Lepisosteus oculatus: one gene and its partner. The protein of the gene in region 1 interacts with the protein of each later gene in a pairwise test. Links are inferred from orthologs where the notes say so. Each region holds a gene or a part of one and is shown in the gene's direction. Other genes may lie near its edges.

What was found.
Region 2: the proteins of rad54b (region 1) and sumo1 interact in a two-hybrid assay, tested with the Homo sapiens proteins (2 studies listed by BioGRID and IntAct). The two-hybrid records come from large-scale screens. The link is inferred for Lepisosteus oculatus from reciprocal best matches to the Homo sapiens genes RAD54B and SUMO1.

What each region holds. Positions count from the first base shown.
Region 1 is NC_090705.1:7,543,219-7,553,762, reverse strand, and holds the start of rad54b (DNA repair and recombination protein RAD54B), read left to right. Parts: upstream 1-5,842; 5' UTR 5,843-5,925; intron 5,926-5,947; exon of another isoform or gene 5,948-6,303; intron 6,304-7,126; 5' UTR 7,127-7,144; coding exon 7,145-7,291; intron 7,292-8,320; coding exon 8,321-8,492; intron 8,493-10,544. Other genes in the region: rnf41l (RING finger protein 151), read right to left, coding at 52-257. UniProt on the Homo sapiens protein: Involved in DNA repair and mitotic recombination. May play an active role in recombination processes in concert with other members of the RAD52 epistasis group.
Region 2 is NC_090707.1:34,431,888-34,441,852, forward strand, and holds the start of sumo1 (small ubiquitin-related modifier 1), read left to right. Parts: upstream 1-5,728; 5' UTR 5,729-5,871; coding exon 5,872-5,883; intron 5,884-9,965. Other genes in the region: nop58 (nucleolar protein 58), read right to left, coding at 175-239, 585-721, 1,482-1,606, 2,176-2,228, 2,594-2,670, 3,665-3,709. UniProt on the Homo sapiens protein: Ubiquitin-like protein that can be covalently attached to proteins as a monomer or a lysine-linked polymer.

The sequences.
Region 1 (10,544 bases):
TGTTATGATGATATCATATCATATCCAGATGAATAATGTCTGTGCGGTTACCTGAACAAGGGCCGCAGCAGGGAGGCGTCGAGGGCCTGCCTGTCTTCGGGGCAGGTGTGGTGGTGGACCAGCCAGCCGTGAATGCAGGAGCTGCAGAAGGCGTGCTCGCAGGGCGCCTGCAGGGGGTCCTCCAGCACATCGCGGCACACGCAGCACAGCAGGCCCTCGTTCACGTAGCCCACAAACCGCTCGAGGTCATAACCCATCTGGCACGCCCACTGAGACACGGACACACGGGGAAAGAAATCCCCCTCATCAGGTAGACGATCTTCTTCAAAAAACAAACTCTCATGCGTGTTATTTCTTTTTCATTGACCTCAGGGGTGGCTGGTAGCATTATCGTCAGAAAAACAGGCTCCCTGATGCAGATTAAGCAATTTACTACTGGCAAACAAACCGCAAATTGGAGTCAAAACATAACTATTACCACATCAACGAGGAAACATAAAAGATACCTGGCTGTAGAGTATATAAGGATAATAAGCATGCATCACAGGGAAAACAAGAATGCGAAGTCTCAAGACTCCATGACTTGCACCATCAAACCTGCAGGATTAAAATTGAACTGAGATTGCTTTAAGGCCCATAATTCTCATTTCAAAAAGCCAGTTACAAACATCAGCATTAAGGCTTAAAGAGCAAGAGGTAATAGCTGGCGAGCAGCTACAGACTGCAGTTGTACTGCACGTCGCCTATTGAGTTTCAAGGCACAGCATACATCTTTAATTACATTCTGCTGTGGACACAGACCTCGAGAATCACACTGCAGACATCACGACAACGAACGGCAGGATACAGGAAAGGTGAGCACGCACCGACGTGTGAAGATAAAAGATAGTAACAGAAAAACACCTCTCCCGATGCTCTGTTTGTTCATCTTCAATTGTCTAGTTCACTTCACTCTCCTTCTCACCTTTTAAGGCTCCCTGTAATCCTTCACTCCTGCCCCTGACACTGCCTGTATGGGGGGGAGACAGAAACGTGGTATGAGCTGTTGAGTTTCCTAAGAAACAGATACTTGGAGCCCAAACAGCCAGTTGTTGAACAAAGCAAACAATAACCCCGCGTTCACATGGGCAGAGCTTCAGCCTTTCCCCTAGAGAGCATTCCCACAGAGGTGTAGCATGTCAGCCACCCCCAGCCCTCTGCTGAGATACCGGACACAGTGCCCGCCTTAGCCATCCGAATAAAGAGCCTCCTTCTTCACGGCTTCCAATTTCGCCTGCTAAATTAGTGCAAAAAAAAAAAATACCCAGAATTCAGAATTGTAAACAAAAATATGTAAAAAAAAATAAATTTTTGAATTTCTTATGGTGTATAGCCATATCTTTTTAAATGTGCTCTGATGTCTGATATGAAGAAAAATTAGAAATAAGAGGCAGCCACTGGCCTGTCCTTTAGCTTCTCACTGCTGGGGCACAGTGCAAACCTTCCTAAAGGTGAAAGGACTTCACTGGGTAGTTCACTTCACACTCAAGATGGGGTTTGCCTAATGGATTATTTCACCGTAATTTATGACACATTCTGTCTTGTGCGTTTCTTACTCTGTAGTGGTGATGCTCTGCTGCCGGGTCCGGAAATATTCCTAATTGAAATTCTTCCTCACTGCTCTTCTACCAAGGGGTTAAGAGATAACGTCTGGTTAATTTCACTTTTGGTGACCTTTCTAAAATTTTAAATGACAAAACAGGAGCATCGGTTAGAGAACAAACATATCAGGGTTGAGTAAAAGCTAAAAAAACTATTTATATTAGCTGGGACATACCAATAAAAAGTGATTGTTGGCTTTACCTTTAATGTTGATTAAAAAAAAAACTTTGTGAGAAATGGCTACAGTGTAAATATTAGCCATACATGACATCCCCTTCATGAGATGGGTCATGGTTTCATTTGAAAACTTGCAAGTAGGCCCATCTTCTACTGTAAATATTTCCCTTCAATTCTTGCAATGTAAAATGTAAGGCTGAAAAGCTGGGATTTTCCCATTTCTGACCAGATTTAATTACATAACCTAACATTTCTGTACATGTCTGATAGATTGTACACTACGCCCTTGTTTCATTTTATGCCTGAAATCTGAGTCTGAGGCCCATCACAGAGTTAAATGCAAAGTGTCAGGCAAATTTCAAGGGAAGGGAATTGCCAAGGGAAGGGGATGTGCCCTATTTGAAAAAGTATATTTACTGCTTTGATGTTTAGATGTCAATACCACAAGGTCTGAGCCAATAAGAATATGTTGAAAAGTACAGAAATTATAGACACTTAGGAGTTATACTAGACAATGTTTACAGAAAGGCTAAATGATTGATACATAATTATCAATTATAGTCCCCATAAAGTACTCCAATAAAATGGTTAAAAATGCATTTTAAAAGACAGAAATGAATGATTGTGATAAACCTGCTCTGCTTTTTATTAGTCCAAATCCAAACTGGCAAAAAAATCAATTTTGATAGAAAATCAATAATTGCATTACGAGTATACATTACATTTCCAGACAAACACACCTTAATCTTAAACTTGCTACTGAAAGTCTCTCTCTTGCATATCAAAGCAGAAAAAAGGACATAAGTATCAACCTTGCAAAAATAAAATCAAACATTCTGAGCACTTCATCATCATCATGTAAAAGTTGTGCACACAATTCTCTGACATGATCAATTTACAAGGAAGCAAATGTCCTCTTTTTTGGCTTTGAGGGTCACTCACTTAATTGCAGCAAGTGCAATGAATCCAAGTTAGTTCAGGAGTTTAGTTTTCCTCGGAGTCACTGGTGATAGAAGCCGCCCCTTCTCATTAAACACTCCTTTTGTTGCAGCACTTTCAATAGATGCGTTAGTGCAGCTCCCCTCAAAGGACTGGCTTCCCATCCAGAGGGAGAACAAGCAAATGCGCTCCCAGCCCTGCCTGGTGCCTCTGGCTTGCTCTGACTCCTACCAGGATAAGCAGCTTTATGATACTGGATGGATGTTAGGATTCGCTAGTCTTACACCTCCATTTTACTAAACGTACTGATTGTTCAAATCAATTCTCACTATATTAGGTGCAACAATGGAGGCCCAGCGCTCATGTGACCCTCAGCTGACGTGATATCGTGTCTGGAGTGAAATGGATTCCTTTTCGAATAAGATAACCTCAATCAACCAGCACTTAAGCTACCATGACCTTGAATGCACTTAGAATCTCCCTACAAGTTAATGGTATTAGCTTAATGACATTTCAGCAGTGTAGAACAAAATCCACAATTTCACCTTCCACTGTTAGTAGAGAGGTGTCTTTGTAGTTTATATCAAGCAGTCTAAAAAACAAAGACCAAAATGTATTCTGACTGCAAAGGCGTTCAGTTCAAAACCCCTCCTTCACTGACTGAATTTCTTCTCTTTTTTAGAAACCTTTTTGCATAAGGGACATTTTACAACTGCCTGACATTTGTAACATATGCTCAATCTGTCTACACCAATATCAAGAAAACAAATATTACACACAAATACTGTTATGGAAGGCTGTCACTCTGGAAAAAAAAGATAAATTAGCACCATCACCTAAAGTACCTCAAGGCACATGGTACATAAGTCAGCATTTAAGTAACCGCCATGTCAAAGATTATTCTTACAACTCCGCTGTAGGTGACGATACCCTGAATATAACACACTACTTTATGGTAGAGTCATCCGAAAAACAACAAGCCATTACAAAACACTGTCAACACAGAGGGTGGCATGGCATGGTGGCACAAGGGTTAGCGTTGATGCCTCGCAGTGCTGGGGCCCTTGTTTCCATGCCGGACCTGGGCTGCTGTCTGTGTGGAGTTTGCATGTTCTCCCCATGTTCACATAGGTTTTCTCCTACAATCCCAGGACATATTGGTAGGTTAACTGGCTTCAGGGAAAACTGGCCTTGGTGTGTGTACGACTGTGTGTGCTGGTGCCCCTTTCAGTGTGTACCCCGCCTCGTGCCCCTTGTGCCAGGCTCCTCCTGTGAATGGGATGCATTGGCGTGGTTAGAAAATCGATGGACAGATGTCAACACAGAAATTTATGAGGGAAGGCCAACAGGTAAAGTAGATGTGCGCACTATCCACTAGATGTAGTTCAGGGAAAGACTGGTTTTATTTAGCTCCACCCAGCTCTCTTACACATCCGCACACTTCTGCCACTGCGTCAGAGGGCCTAGGGTGCCCTAAAGGGGCTGATGGGTCCCTGAACCACTGTGACTCAGACCTTCTCCACCGGGTAAAACAGATAGAGACGTGAGAGAGGGACTGGAGGGTGCATCACAGTCCACCACCAGCAAGGGACAGGGCTCGTGGTGTATCCCCACCCACCCTGCCATCCGGATCACACTCCCCTGGACTGGTGCGATACATGGAGCAAGTTTATCCAAGACTCAGAACTGCACAAGCTCATACCTGTGCATTTAGAACCTCCTTTTGGAACTGAATGTACGAAATTATTTAACCCAAATACAAACACAACAAATGTTTTTCTTTTTAATAAAGATAGCAGTCACACAGTGAAATCTGCCAAGCTCTGCGAGGCAGTTTGCAGATGTGCAATCTTTACTACTGCACAAATGCCTTTACCTTTTCCTTTTCATAAGCAGCATTTTCAGTGTTCAGATCAGTGTTTTCCCCCTATCTTCTAATCACAGTTTATGTTTCCACTATCTGCATGTACTGTAACCCCTTACACTGTAAGTTACAGACTGGCACTGCTGCAGTTTGTAAGCCTTGATTCTCCAGCATGCTTCATCAGACACACAACCCTTTTCCCTTGCTCTGTGCTGGTAATCGTAAATTTCTTACAAGCTGTAAGAAATTACAACTGGTAAATTCTACAACTAAGCTTCTGTGTTGTATCGTTTCGAAAGCGCAATGTTAAACTGAGATGCTATACTTACCGAACACTGTTCAGCTTCATGACGTCCACATAGAGAACGTCTATGCCATTTCAGACTACTACTTTAACAACTTCCCCCATGTTAATATCGTATTAGTAACAATGCAAGGTATCTTTACCGGATCAAACAGAAACCCTTGTTATACTGAAGCTCATGGATGCTGAGCTCAAAAGGGAAAATAATAAATATTTATTATCGTTTATTATCTTATCCTCTTACTTCGTGGTTTGTACACCTACAGTACCTAAAGTTATTGATTGTTTTGATAACCGGACAATCTTATGCAATGCTTGTACATCACCACTACACTGCTACTACTGTACGTACGAACTGTTGTTTTAAAGTTTAGTTTTTAAAATATTTACAGTTCTTTACAATTTACAGAAAGCCAGTGCAGGAGAGAAGTTGGCAGAATTCACAATGCACAGCACTATATGCATATGAAAAACATAAATCAACTTACCATTTAATATAGACTTAATTGTTACGTTTCTTATAGTATTTGAAAAGCTTTCTGCACAATGACAGTTAAACCAGTCATTTCAGTATTCAGTATTTTTGCATCAGAATGTCGTATAAAAATATTTTTTGTAATTACATGGAAGGCAAATACGAATAATTAAAACGCACCGCGTATCTTACCCTCGATTCCTCTACTTCAATGTATTTTATTTACCTGCTGTTTTCAGGTGACAAGAACCAACTGTCGCAAACTGTGGCGATATATTGACATTCACTCGGCAAAAAAAACGGCGAGGGGTGATTCGGCAGTGTGGCAGGAGCGGTTTTAAGGATTTTTCTCTTTAATTTCTAAACCCGAGCTTTCAATACGGGTGGTTCTGTATTTTATATAGAAAATGAAAAAGACTAATGATACGTTATGGACCAGATTCCTGCGTCCTATTAAAAATACATTTACATCCGCCATGAGATGGAGTGTAACGGCGACCATAATCGGTGTGGCAAGAAGTGACGGTAAAGCACAAAAAAGGTTTTTTATTTACTGATAAGATGCTTTTTTATCCACGTCTGAACATTAATCTCTTGTGTTCACGTTATTTGAGCTTATAATTATAAGGTTAATAATAGCAAGGCTATTCATTTTGCGAAATGAAGGTGGGAGCACTCGTATCTCCGCCCCATGACCGCGGCCTATCGGAGGGCGGATCCTGGTTACGCGGGAGACTTGAGTCTACGGAGGTGGCCGCCGCCGGGAGGAAATAAGAAGAGGATTTGTAGGGAAAAAAAATAATCTTTATTGTGGTATAGAGGGGTTCTGTCTACCTAGAACATAAAAACATAAGAAAGGGCGTCATTTGGCCCGTCTAGCCCGCTTGGTTGCAAGTTTCTAATGTAAGTAATAATGCGGTGCTGTATATCGTGGATAAGGTTGACTATTTTGTTTTGTTTTTTATGCCACAGTTAATAAAACGGAAGGCTGTTGGATCGTTATTATCGACGGTTCTCATTCCCACAACTACCTAGATCGGACATATAAGCACATCATTTAAAAACGGGTCTAGCTTTCAGGTAATAGACACAACATAAAGGTAATCGGACGGCCGTTTAACTGGCAGTTCTGCTTATGTGCTCTGTTTTAATATAGTAAGTCTATATAAGGTCTTTTTCGGAGATGCTAAAATAATCTTTAAGTTTCGGTACGATATGTAGCTACATATGGAACAGTTTGTGCTGTTATGTCCACTGACGTGTCAGTTTGAAGGCTAACGAGAAACGGCATGATTTTTTAAAAATGAATTTGTAATAAATCTCCCAATGAGATTACCTGTAATCTGTAATTTATTCGGATGATCATTTTTTTAATTGCTGCTTTGTTGTATGTAATCTGCATTTTGAAGTAGAGAAATGTTACTCATCATATTTTGGGAAACATATCCATAGTACTGGGCTGTTTAAATCTTATTTGCCTGAAGGATCCCTTTTCAAGAGATCAACAATACCCTCGATTTCATCCTAAGCGTAATTAGGTTGCTAGATTTAACCCTACTCTCATAAAATTCTCCCCGAGGTTAGTGAGCACCAGCGTGAGGATAGTGTTGTCCAATTACCTGTCCATCGCAATCATGGCCTTTCATTGCTATCGTAAGACCCAGGGGCCAGCAAGCCTGCCCACGCGATGCCTCAATAGAACTATTCTGTTTCTGAACTCCTGCAGGTGGGCTGGTATCTCAGTATGCGCAGGTCAGGGGCTCCAAGTCAGCTGTGTGGCAATGTGGCCAAGAAGCCCAGGTTTGTGCCCCCGGCATCGATGCACATGAGAGCTGCTTCTGTGCCCGACCCGAAACGCCCCAGCCCTCCGCTGTGCAATGCGCTGAACAAGGTAGGTAAGGCGTTCGCTCAGTAGCCCCAGGCTGCTTACAACTTCCATTTTAAACCCCCCTGTACTGTGCAGATGTTGTGAAATGGAATTTGATATTTAGGTTTATGGGCCGTAAATTACTACGCTCTAGATATGTGATTCATAAATCAGACTGACTAACTGACTGACTGAGAAGGTTCAGATTCCTTGAGACTGGGGCTTCTGCAGGATGAAGTGGAGGTAAAAAAAAAGAAAAGCTGACTACGTCATTCCCCAGTTGAGCATGCATTTCATACAGTATGATGAAGAGAAACTGAACTCGCAACATCCAAAGAACCCAAAGTAGCTGCAGCTAAAAGTATCTTAAATAATTAGACTTAGGGTTTTGTGTGGATCGCAGACTTTGTTCTGTTATTGTCCCAAAGGGATCAGCAACCAAACACTGGCTTTTACGCTATCAAGTTTGCTGAAAGTGAAGGTGTCCCAATACCCTAACCCTAACCCAGATTTTATTCTAAAATGATCATATGTATGCATGGGCTTGCCTAAAAATAAAATATACAGCGTCTTATACCAGCTCTTACTTTCCAATAATGTCCCATTTGAGTGAATTACAAATGAAGTATACACATGTTTTTAAAGTGAATATTTTGATCAGAACCTGAACGTTCTGACGTTTTATGTATAGGTTTTACAGGGAGACTGTTTCATCACTAAATAAAAGCTGAAAAAGAACCGGTGCCTTTGCTGACGTGAGCAGTGTCCTGATTTGTTTCTTCCAGATAATGAATGTCCTAGTATGCTGGCAGTGATGTCTCGGTATTTTCAAATGTAACATGTGAGAAGCCTTTTTGCATTTTGCAGTCAAACACACATTTAATCAAACCTCCCTGTCAGGGGAAATGTCCAGCAGTCCAGTGTTTCGTGCACGGTGTGTGCAATAGAACTTTCCATACATTTAAACAGCCAAGGTCTTGTAGAGTGTTTTCTTTGCTGTGGTATCATCTGCATTGTATTGATCCCTGATCTTGTCTTAACTGCTTCTTGCAGGTGACAGCTCCCCAGGAAAATAAATCGGAGGCCCCTGTCTTATCCAAAGCCTTGGCAAGAATCCTTAATGCTGTTCCCCTGGGTGACACCGAGGAGAACAGCTCAAAGCTGCAGGGACTCTCCGATAGTCTTACTGTGAGAGAAGAAGAGTCAGACCACAGGACTCCAGATGGTGAGTTGAGCATCATATCTACTAAAACTCCTCTTGGCTGTGTCTTCATAGGCTTGAGCTTTTTGACAACGTGATGTTTTGAACCTCACACTTGAGATCGAAAATCTGCTATTGTAAAAAAAAGTGGTAGTTGCCTGCTGTACAGGAATTGCAAGTGTCTTTAGTAAAACTTAAACCTTCATCAATTAAAAGTGAAAGCTGAACTTGGTGCATTGCCCTTGAGGAGATGGCTTTGTCAGTATAGAACAATGCAGCATTATGATTTTGGTCCAGTGTGATGCTACATATACAGTATAGAAGGATGGTTTCGTTTTTTCCTGCCTGGTCCAGGAAGGTGATAGATAAGTGACAAACTGTGGTTGAAAGGTGACAAATTCGAGAAAAACAAAATAGACACTTTTAGCTTTTTAGAATCTTGCATACACCTTAGAAGCATTCCTTCTTTCAGGAAGGCACTGGAGATTCTGAGCATTGTTTCAATGGTTTTGACCTTTTTTATCTGATCTTTATCTGTTCTCTGTTAATGTCATGTCTGTCCAGTTATGGTGGTAACGTTCTGTACACCATAGTCTGAATAGCGGTGTGCAGAATTAAACCTTTAAATCTGGTAGTTCATGAACAAGGTGAAAACGGATTTTAGGATATGATTTTGGGCCAGGAACAACTAATTGCTGCAAAGGTAGGAAGTGATTGGTGAATGGAGTAGGATGTAATTTTAGGTTCTTAGATATGAGGCTGCGGAGGCCCTAGTGAATTATTCTGATGTGATCTACAGTATGTTTCTACTGTAATGCTTGCTGACCATTAAGGATATAAAATGAGAGATTTCAGAAGCCCTTTATAACATACGTGTACTATGCCTTGCAACCTAATGAGAAAATGCAAATGTGGCTGTGTTTTCATATTGCATTTCTTAAAAGAATTACATTTGTGACTGTTTTTGCTAAATGCTTTTAAGGGATGATGTCATTGGTAGGTAGTTCCATTTCACTGGTAAAGGTGTGAATTTAAATTTAAGCCTTATAGATGAAGCAGCATACAGTACTTTCATGGGACAGCCTGAACTGCTATCATTAAGCAGAAGATACACTTTGAAAAATGCTTCTAATGTGTTCTTTGCATTTCTTCCGGGGGGGGTCGTTAGATGATCTGTGTTTCTGGGAGAAAGGTAGGCTACGCAAAACAAGCAGGCAGACAGAATAGTGTTATTTGCTCAATATTAAATGTTTTACCACTGTTTGTGAAGTGAGCAGAAGCTTCAGTAAGCTGGTGTACTGGAGGAGCTGCATGTGCTTTGTACAGCAGAGGCCTGGGCAGTGCTGTACTGACACTGCCTTGGCTATTCTGCTTTGATTGGGGTGTACTGAAGAGTTGTCGTGCTCATGCAGAAAATGTCTTTCATGCCAATTCACAATGTTACTCTTTGCTCTTTTTGTTTTATATTCTTGTAATTTATCCTGGAGTCTCCCTTTTGTCCTTGTTTCGGATGTTCCTGTAGAGAGAGAAAACATATACAGTAAGAGCATTTTTTGTGTACCGTGAAATGTCAAAGACCTGCTGAACAGATGTAAAGAATGGTTTTATGACTGAACTAGAAGGAATAATATTCACTATTGTAATTTAAGTGTCGATAGGTCTTTTGATGCTACTTTAATAAGTTCCTTTCTTAATTGTTGGAATACACTAGCAGATGTTTTTTCCATTCTGAGGTGTAGAAATGTGTTTTAGAAAGATTAGGACTGCATCGATTATTTCGTGTAACTTAAAACCAGATGTAATACGTATTAGGTTAAGTAAAGTAAATGGGGAATCTTACTCTGAAGAGTTTTTTTGTTTTAATTTCACATCAAAATTCACAAAGAGGGTAAAAAAAGATTTCTGTAAATAGAACAGACTAGTACTGGGCTGTTCCTAGGTTACATGTCCAAGGCCTGCAGAAGAGGCCAATTTAGTCTGGCAGCAGGAGCTCTTTGTAAATCTTGTGTGTCAGCATTGTGCAATACCAGAGCAGCCTGACATGCTTCTGAAACTCTGACTTAAATTCAACCTAAT
Region 2 (9,965 bases), on another chromosome or scaffold:
TTATTTGTAACATATCCCATGTTCTTAAAATTGGAGGATTACCAATGAGATCTTTAAAGCAAAGCACATTTATATATTTGCAGTCAGGAACCTACGTAAAATACAGAAATTGCGGGAGAACAGTTGAACCTATGGTACTTTACAAACATTTTTTATATCTTAACTGTTACTTACAGATAGCTTGGACGATCATGGTATCCACTTTATCTGGGCTGAACTTCAGCTTGTACCGAGACAGGCTGGGGAAAAAAAAACAACCACAAGACAATCTGAGCACAGAACCACCAGCAACAAACCTCTTCCAAGACTGACAACCGATTCTGGAATTCTGGAATTAGGCAGGTCACATCATGACGTTTAATATCAAAAACCTAACACTGCAGAATGACAACTCTGTACAACTCTGCATTACCCATGCGATCGAGGCTTGCCGTCTCAGTGGTAGTGACGAATTCTGACGAGATTCTTCACGAAGCATTTCAGCCAGCAGAATGTAATCATTGACAGCGCAGCCCCGCTCAGCCAGAAAGGGTTTGATTTGCGCCCCCACCCTATCCCCCTCTGTCCTGGGGAGCTCCACCCACCTGTGAGCCAGCCCCAGGGCCATGGCACTCATCTCCCTGGGGGGCAGGCCGGTGATCAGCCCCTCCATCTGGTTCCGGATCCCCCTCATGAGCTCCGCCACGGCTGGGCTGTGCACGCAGCTCAGGTTCAGCTTGTCCTGTGGGGGGCGGAGTGGGATCTTAGTACACACACACACCAGGAGGACATCGTGTTTTACCTCTAGGCTGCCATTTAACAACCCCCCACCCAATACACCCTATCAAACTGTCTCACAACGCATCTCCAAAGTGCTTTGATCCAATACAGACACCAAGAATAAGATGTAAACTTTAAATCATACCGACACTTTATATTGTCTACTACCAACAAAAGAAATTGAAGTCTATCCCACTGCTTTAATGATGCAGGTGCAGCACACCTGGCAGACATCCAACTTTAAGTGATCTCAACAAGATCTAACACCCTTGTCAACCTTACAAGAGCCTGACACTGATGGCTGCTGGGAGCACTGCGGGTTCTGTGTTTTTAATTGAGGAAGGAAATCAAAGAAGCAACATGAGGTTTTCTGCCATTTCCTTCTTAATATTTAAGAATGCACACAACTATCAATGCCTGCGGGTTCTCAACCAGTGAAAAGGCGCAGCTAAGGTTTTTTTTCTGGTGTCAGAGCTACCCTGAACTGCTTGATTGACAGCAGGAAAAAGTCCTTGACACGTGGCAATCACAGGAGCTGGGAATCACCTCCCTAGCCGCGTGATCTGGGGGGAATCTTTTAACAGGCTGACAGAATTCTTGGGATCATTAAGCCACTGGAAACCAAAGACACAAAAAAAGGGGCCTCCGCATTCGCAAACGCGGAAACTTCAAAACGTCAACCGGTCATCTTTACGCAAAGGCCCAGGGAGCCGCGGTCGTACTTTGATCACGCCGCCCAGTTTGGCATCGCTGATGGCCAGCTGCTCGTGGGCTTCCTTCGCCACAACCCTCTTCAGGACCTTCTTCAGGCTCTTCCCGATCTTGCCCTCCACCAATGCGGTGGCAGCTAGCGAGAGATTTGGACAGCGTTAGGCGTGGCGGGCAGACCAGCAATGGCCAAAACAAACCACCAAGGAGCGGAGGGAGAAGCCCGTGGCCCACAAACGCCAGCAGGCAATGTTTCTCCCCCGAATGCGATCGATTCTCCCGCTGCACTGCTGTCTCAGTGGTAGTGACGAAAACTGAAAATTGACCTCATTTGTTTTTCACTCAGGCAACACAGAATGCATCATCGACAGCAGAGTCAAAAGTAAAAACTACCATGTAGGCCTTAACTGCATTTTTTTACAGGTTTCCTTTTTTTGTTTGAGTACTGGTTGTCAACGGCTCTCACAGAACATAACTGTAAAAGTTAGGGGTGAACTAACTAAGGATATGACAATATCTGTGTATTAAACTAACAGAATAAAAACAGTTTCTCACAAAAACCTTTTTTGTATGTTCACGTACAAGCACAGGAAGCAATAAAACCAAAAACTTTTCGCATCAGGAGACGCGAAGAACCACATACATGGAAGTGCAGGACTGTTTGGGATACCACTAAATTCTTAAATTGAACCCCAAAAAACATCGTACCTGCCAGTGCTTCTGTGGTGTCCTGGAATTTTTCAAAGTGTTTGAGTTTCACTCTGGCAAAAGAAAGATTAAATTCAGATCAAACAATCAGAAAAAAAGAACTGACTTAAGCGTATTCAAAACACTTGATAAAATAACACATATCCAGAGCAGACTGTTTAATCTGTACAGGAATTGTCACCAGCCTAACACAGTACTCTGTCAATCAGATTAAATAAAATGACTTGTTTTATACAATTCTGTCCAAAGTATGCATACTGTAGGTTTTCCACTTAAATAAAAGCTTAGTCTAGTTTCTGGGAAGTTGAAGATTTATACAGAAGGGTTGATTTCAATCCTAGAGGTTGGTAACATACCTACAAGGTAAAAGAAAAGCCTTTAAACGTTTAAAAAAACCACAAAATGAAAATGTATTTACATTTTATTTGCTCTTTCTGGAGTCTGGAATTCTTCCCACAATTTGTCCACCTCCTGGAGTTTTTTCTCATTGAGAACCTGAAAAAAAAGTTTAAGGGGTTAGAAACACTAAAAAGAGTCGCCTGTCGACTCACTATGGATTAACTCATTTTTAAACAGATCTTGGGCTACACTGCTTATCCTTACCGGTTGTCTTATTCGACATTTTCTTATTAAACGATTTTGACTTCGACCATTCCATCAAGACAGATATATCAACTCCCACTCCCACTGAGCGTTCAATAAAGTTCCCCAATGTAGCTGCACCTATTCCCCGTCAAGCCAACAGAACGAACGTCTCTTTACCTGCTTTGTAACATTTTGTGTAAATGCAGAACTACATTTTCCCTCATACTTTTCACCCTGGAATTAACGTCTTTTTCTTGTTGCATCAGCAAAGTTTAACAAGAAAAAAACACAACGTGAAATCGTGCCCTGCGTTAGAGATCATATTGAGATCAAACACGCCGAGCCAAAAGTTGTTCCAATGCAATACACCTCTAACCATCTAACGATACTTTTCTGAAACTGTTTAGCGTTTCGCTAAATATATATATAAAAAGTGGACGATCGTTTCTTTCATGCGCCCAGAATTCTGAAACCTTTCAAAAAAAGGTTTATTAGCTGCGATTTTCAGATTCTCTCTCTACTCGTCTCAGCAGGCTGTTTTCATTCCGATTTCTGCAAGATCGAGCAATCAGATTTGGAAAGCATGAAAGTTAAAAGTCCTCGACCTAATGCCAAGTTACATGTAACCCATGTGGCCAGTCTGCACGCAACGTGGTAGCAGAGAGCGACGGGCCCGCACTCCAAACTTCTTCCCCTACACCTTTTCGTAGACAATTTCGCACACCAAGATCACCGCGTACCACCATTCATGCCCAGATCATTTTAATTTCCCTTAAAACACTTTTATTTGAATGAACATATCGGCAACGCGGGCAAAAAGGACACGCACACGGTAGCACAAGATGGTCCCTTTGCTCTCCTTAGTTCAAATTACTGAAGCCCCCACCCATTTATTTTTCCTTACCTTAAAAATTGCATAGCCAGCGGCGGTCTCGAACAGCACCAACATCTTCGATCATCTAAGGACGTTTTCCAGCCTCTAAACGTGGATTTTTCCTTTACTTAGGATCGGCACGCTCCTCCACCACGGGCTTCTGCAGAGACCCTCCACGCGGTGTAGGATCCCGAGACTGCGCACTCCAGGCGCCTGCGCGCGGGGGCGGAGCCGCACACCGGAAACGGAAGGGCTGTGTTAGGAACCGGAGACGAGACCCAGGAGGCACGCTCGAGTGTTTCCGAACCTTTCCGAGTCTTTCCGAAGGCCCATTGAGTGTTTTAAAATGGTTTCAATGTAATGGGTGCTCATCAAGAAAGATCCGACAATACACTTTTGCCTGTCTCGCCTCGCACCTTTTTGCTTATCAGATACAAAAAACCCGTGAATATATCACAAATAATCACAAATAAATTTGACATTGGATGGACGGACATTGTGCTTTGGCTATCCAGTCAAAGCGTTTTGATGGCATACTTATTTCGAAAATACGTCACACGCGGTTGTGTTATATCAAGCCTTCAGCTCACGCAAAAAATGTCAGTTGCATTAGACAAGGACGTTTATTTAAGGGAATAAATAAAAGAAGAACTTTTAGTCTTCTGATGCTGAATGTTTTTTGTATAATGATAAGAAAGAGACACTCACGGCTCTAAGTCTTGACACTGTACAAGTGTATTCATTTATACTATTAATTTACTACATTGGCATTGATCAACAGTTCTTATTTTAAAGTTCTTATACAGACATACTGTATTTAAGGGATGCACTTTGGTGCAGTGGTTAGCAGTCTCACAGTGCTGGGGTTCAATTCCTGGGCTGCTATCTCTGTGCTCAGTTCTACCTCTGGGTGCTCTTCTTTCCTCCTACAGTTCAAAGACATACTGTTAGGTTAAATGGCTTCTGGGAAGATTGACCCTGGTGTGTCTGTCTGCCCTGTGGTTGACTGGTGTAATGGATGGATGATTTTTCCCATAGGAAAACAAGACCCGGCCTATAATAAACACCAGTCCTTAAGAGAACACGGTATTCAGCATTGGTCATCACAGTCTCAGGTAGAACATTTACAGTATGAGCTGAAGAAAGCAGATTTCAGGCACAGATCACACAACCAAAAGACGTTCGATATGAGAACCTTAGGATGAGACGTAAAACCGAGTTCCTGACTCTCTGTGGTCATTAAATATGCCAGGGCGTTTCTCGAAAAGAGTAGGGGGTGTAACCCCAGCGTCCTGGCCAAATTTCCCATTGGCCCTTACCAATCATGGCCTCCTAATAATCCCCATCTATGAATTGGCTTCATCACTCTGCTCTCCTCCCCACTGAGAGCTGATGTGTGGTGAGTGTACTGGTGCCCTATGGCTGCCATCGCATCATCCAGGTGGATGCTGCACATTGGTGGTGGTGGTAACTTGTGTAATGTATTAATATAATATTAGACTACTGAACGTATATAGTAGATACTATATTGGTTCTACTAGATACTATATTGGTAAGTACTATTGTAGCTCTACAGTATAGTATTTCAGTACACCTCGCAGTGTATACCATAATATTTCACTCTAATATTTAACCATATCACAAATATATATATATAAAGTCCATACTATAGTAATGTTACAGCACATACTGTACATTAGTTAAGAATTTCCCAAATTATAGATGTTATAAAATATAAATTATATTATCATTCAAATAAACAAAATGTTATTTTAGTTGTTATATTAATCTATAGACTCATACTACACGTCCATCCTATAGTAAAGTGCTGTAATTTTCCAAACATGTTTTATATTGTCTTCTAAGCTTTCACGAATAGGGCATGAGCTAACTTTATAAAACAGAGCTCTTCAAAGAATATATGCGTCCTCATTATTTTCACTGGGATGAATCTTAATCAGACCCGGTACCTTTGCCAACGTGGGTCTCCCTGTAAGCAGGATGTACGAAGAGGACCATCCGAAAAGCACATTTTAAAAACAAAATTGTTTTCTCTTTGGCTACACGACCAAATGACGTCACTTCCCGAGGAAGTCCCTCCCCGATTCCAATGAGGTCAGTGTCTGTGTTTTTGTGGGGGGATTGTAGGAAAGAGAAGAGCGCTTAATACTAAATAACATCATCATAAAATATCAAAGATTTAGTTGTAAGAGTCACAGGGAAAAACAGAAGCAAGCATGTCTGATACGGTAAGTCTGTGATCTGTGTATAGGAACTAAACATCTATATTAGCTGATCAGACTCGGTGTTTTCGGGCGCATAGCGTGCGTGTACTGTGAATCAAGATACAGCCTGAATAATAAATAATTATATTTTACTTTTATGAAAAAAATACAGTATATTAACCAGTAATGGAATGGGCGTTTAAAACTTTGTCAGAAACTAACGGGTCTGTTCAAGAGGAGTTGAGATATCTGCAATTTACAGCGCCGATGTGCTTAGGGGTACTGTTCTTGATGTCTCAGAATTTAAACGAAATAATCTTTAAAAAAATCGAGAGTGGGGAAGGCTGGGTTGTCTTTCGGTACAGTGCATGCATTTGTTTTGCCGAAAAATTAACAAATGTGTAGGGATTGTTTTTTAGGACTCTTCGGTATTCAGTGAAAAGCGATCGTGGCCCACTGGTACTGTCGGGAGTGAAACTGAAAATAAATGGATTGTTGTAGTTCGGAGTTGAAATGAAGGTTTTTGTTACTTAAGTGAAGTTAATTTCCTTCCGAAGCTGAACAGTAGATTTTGTTCTTCGCAACGTAATAAAAGGGCAGGAAAGCACATCGAGTCCTTAAAATAGGTGTCGAGACACAAGTAACTGCTTAAGGAGTTGTATTTAACATAAGCGGTAGTACAGTGATGGATGATAGTAGTTTGAACATTTTTATGTTTTCATATTTTTATGATTGTCTTTTAAGATGAGAAAAAGGGCACTAAAACCACCATATTGCTTGATATAATAGATACAATAAACGTATGTCTGTTGGCCTCTACAACTCTGGGATTTGTAGAAAGCAGCAGAAATGGCTTCCTACTTGCCTTTGCATATATTTGCCTCTGCCTTCCTTACATGAGTAGAGCCTGCAGTTATGGTGAACTTGGGCCATGAGAGTGTTGTGTTGTATGGTCCCATAGGACCGCAGTTCAGCAAAAGGTCTGCATCTCTATACGATTCTTGCTTTTGAGCTTCAGAAAGAGTTAACTCAATTAAAGAGATCAAGTGGAAAGGATCTTAAAGAAGGCTGCAATCCATCACCCCAGATCTGATAGATGCTTTAATGGCAAGACACTGGGATAATGAGTGGGGGAAAAAAAGGAATTATTTCTGAAGTTTGTGTGGACACAAAGACGAGGCCTACAGTGTAAAGTTGAGCCTGTCTGTTAAGATTATTGGCAATTCTGTCATGGATTGGCTCGACACAAATGTGCCGCGAGTCAAGAATTAACTAGTAAAACATACATGTGATATTATAGCTTCACACATTAAGACAGGGAACCCCAAAAAAACGCAAAAGCCCAAAACCCCATATGTTTGTTGGTTGTTTTGCCAGCCGCAGTGCTTATATTTAAGTTGCTGACTTCCAAACACACAAGTAGAGGGATGTAGAAGCCGAACTGATATCCTATAGCCACCTCAAAATCCAGCAGTGGTAGTAAAATAATTTGTTTGCCACATTGTCACGACAACAGCTCTTCGAAGGTTTAGAACTCCCTTAAACGGGTAGATAACAAAGAAACCCTTTGGCGCAGCCCTTAAACTTGCAGGGATTTGACGAAAAAGCGTGTTTGTAGCGCCGCGAAAAAACAGTGAGGTAACTATCAATGAATGTAGTTTCTCTGATCAGAGATTTGGGTGCAGCGCCGGGGCCGTGGGTTAAATTCCTGGAGCTGGGGTGCTGTCTGTGTGGAGTTTGCATGTCCTCCCTATGTGTACGTGGGTTTCCTCTGGTTGCTCTTACAGTCCACGAACGTACCCGCAGTTTAATTGGCCCGAGGGGCGAGTGTGTGTGTGCCCTGCGATGGATAGGCATGCTTTCCTGGGTGAACCCTGACTTGTTAGCCTGTTGTTAGTCCTGATTGGCTCCAGCTCCCCTGTGACCCTGTATCGGATAAAGTGGTTACGAACTGGATGGAGGATCAGAGATTTCAGGTACATTAGGACCTCACTGCAAATTCTTTCTTTGTTTTATGCTCTTTTAAATACTGAGTTAAGTGTTGTATAGCGCCGAATGAGACACTTTCTGTATCGGCCTCTCTGTGTGCATCTGTGAGCTCAGCGCTGTTTATTCAGAAGACAAAAACAGAGATGGAACCAAATATAATCTTAACTGTACAAAGCAGTTGTTATGGATACCACCTATTACACGAATTGTTTCCTGGAATGGGTTTTCGAAGAATTTTACGGTTAATCTTGTAGAACTTTAACCATCACGGGCATAATATTGTAGGGGCAGCTGTTTTCAAAGATCCATACAAACCAAGGATGGGAACAGAGCTTTGTTCTTTTTGACAATATACAGGAGACACAGGCCCAGACAAACTGGAGAATTCTAAACGCAGGTCTGCTCTTTACAGAGGCAGTGTACAACTTACGTACACTTCCTGTATGTTTTCATTAAAGCAATTTTCATTTGTATCCTTCATTATTCATTTTTTTTCCATCCTAGGTATGCTGTGTAAATACTTTGTTTCTGTTTTGACCACTTTGCGTTACAAGCCGATGCTGCTGTTGTGTTACAGATCGATTGCGGGATGTGCAGTTGAAATGAGATTGTTCTGCTGATATCTGAGACTTACATTTAAAAATAATAATAATTGCTTACATTTATATAGCACTTTTCTGGACATTCCACTCAAAGCGCTTTACAGGAAATGGGGACTCCCCTCCACCACCACCAATGTGCAGCCCCACCTGGATGATGCGACGGCAGCCATAGTGCACCAGAACGCTCACCACACATCAGCTATCAGTGGGGAGGAGAGCAGAGTAATGAAGCCAATTCATAGATGGGGATTATTAGGAGGCCATGAGTGGTAAGGGCCAATGGGAAATTTGGCCAGGACACCGGGGTTACACACCTACTCTTCTCAAGAAACGCCCTGGGATTTTTAATTATCAAAGAGAGTCAGGACCTCGGTTTTATGTCTCATCTGAAGGATGGCACCTTTTTAGAGTATAGTGTCCCTGTCATTATACTGGGTTATTAGGACCCACATAGACCACAGGGTGAACGCCCTCTGCTGGCCCCACTAACACCTCTTCCAGCAGCAACCTTAGTTTTTCCCAGGAGGTCTCCCATCCAGGTACTGACCAGGTTCACACCTGCTTAGCTTCAGTGGGTTGCCGGTTGTGAGTTGCAGGGTGATATGGCTGTTGGAAGCACTATTTTAGGGGTGGAGAACCCTTAGGCTGGATGTCTAAGTCAAGAATGAAAGAACATTTACAAACGAGAGGAGTCCATTTGGCTCATGGTAGGTAGTAGCAATTCATAAGTTTGTAAAGACTTGAAGCACATCTAAGCATTGATCAGTTCAGTAAGTTAATTGGTTCAATAAGTCCGGAAAAGCCAACTACAGTCCTTGAGTGCTACAGGGTGTTGGTATTTTGTTAATTTAGAAGGTCTCTGAACTACTTAATTGAAAGCCAAGGTTTTTCATCAGAATTCCTTTGGTTCTGGATGGTTCTACGCAAACACATTGGGCAAACACACAAAACCCATTGCTCTCTGCTGTCAATAAATGTTATGGGTGGAGCATAGAGCTGAAACCAACCAGCCTTAAACCTAAGAATCGAAAGTGAGCAATTAAGACAAAATGATCATTTCCTCACTGCCGTTCCTACCTTGCTGGTGTTGAAGTTGATTACGTGTGACTCATAAAACCTGCTGAGTTGTGGTTGCTCATGACCAGGACTGGACAAGCCTATTAAAATTGGCCCGCCACCTTTATAATTCTCCTTGACATTTACTCTGGTTGAAATTGGAGACATATCATCACCAGCTGTTGTGGCTGGGCTATCAAATGAGTAAATCTGATGTAATCTTGGAGAGATGGGAGCAAACCAGGACATGCACAAACAAAACCCACTAGAGAACAAGCCGCAAAAATAAGATCAAGAATGCAGATGCAAGACTCCATAATAGCTTAGTTCTCAAGTATAACGTAAGTAACATCTAAAATGTTTTCTCTTAAACTTGTTTTGCAAAGTCCAGCCAAACTGAATAAATGGAAGGGACACTAGGGTTTCATTGTTACATTTGTCTAACAATCCTGTGTGTTT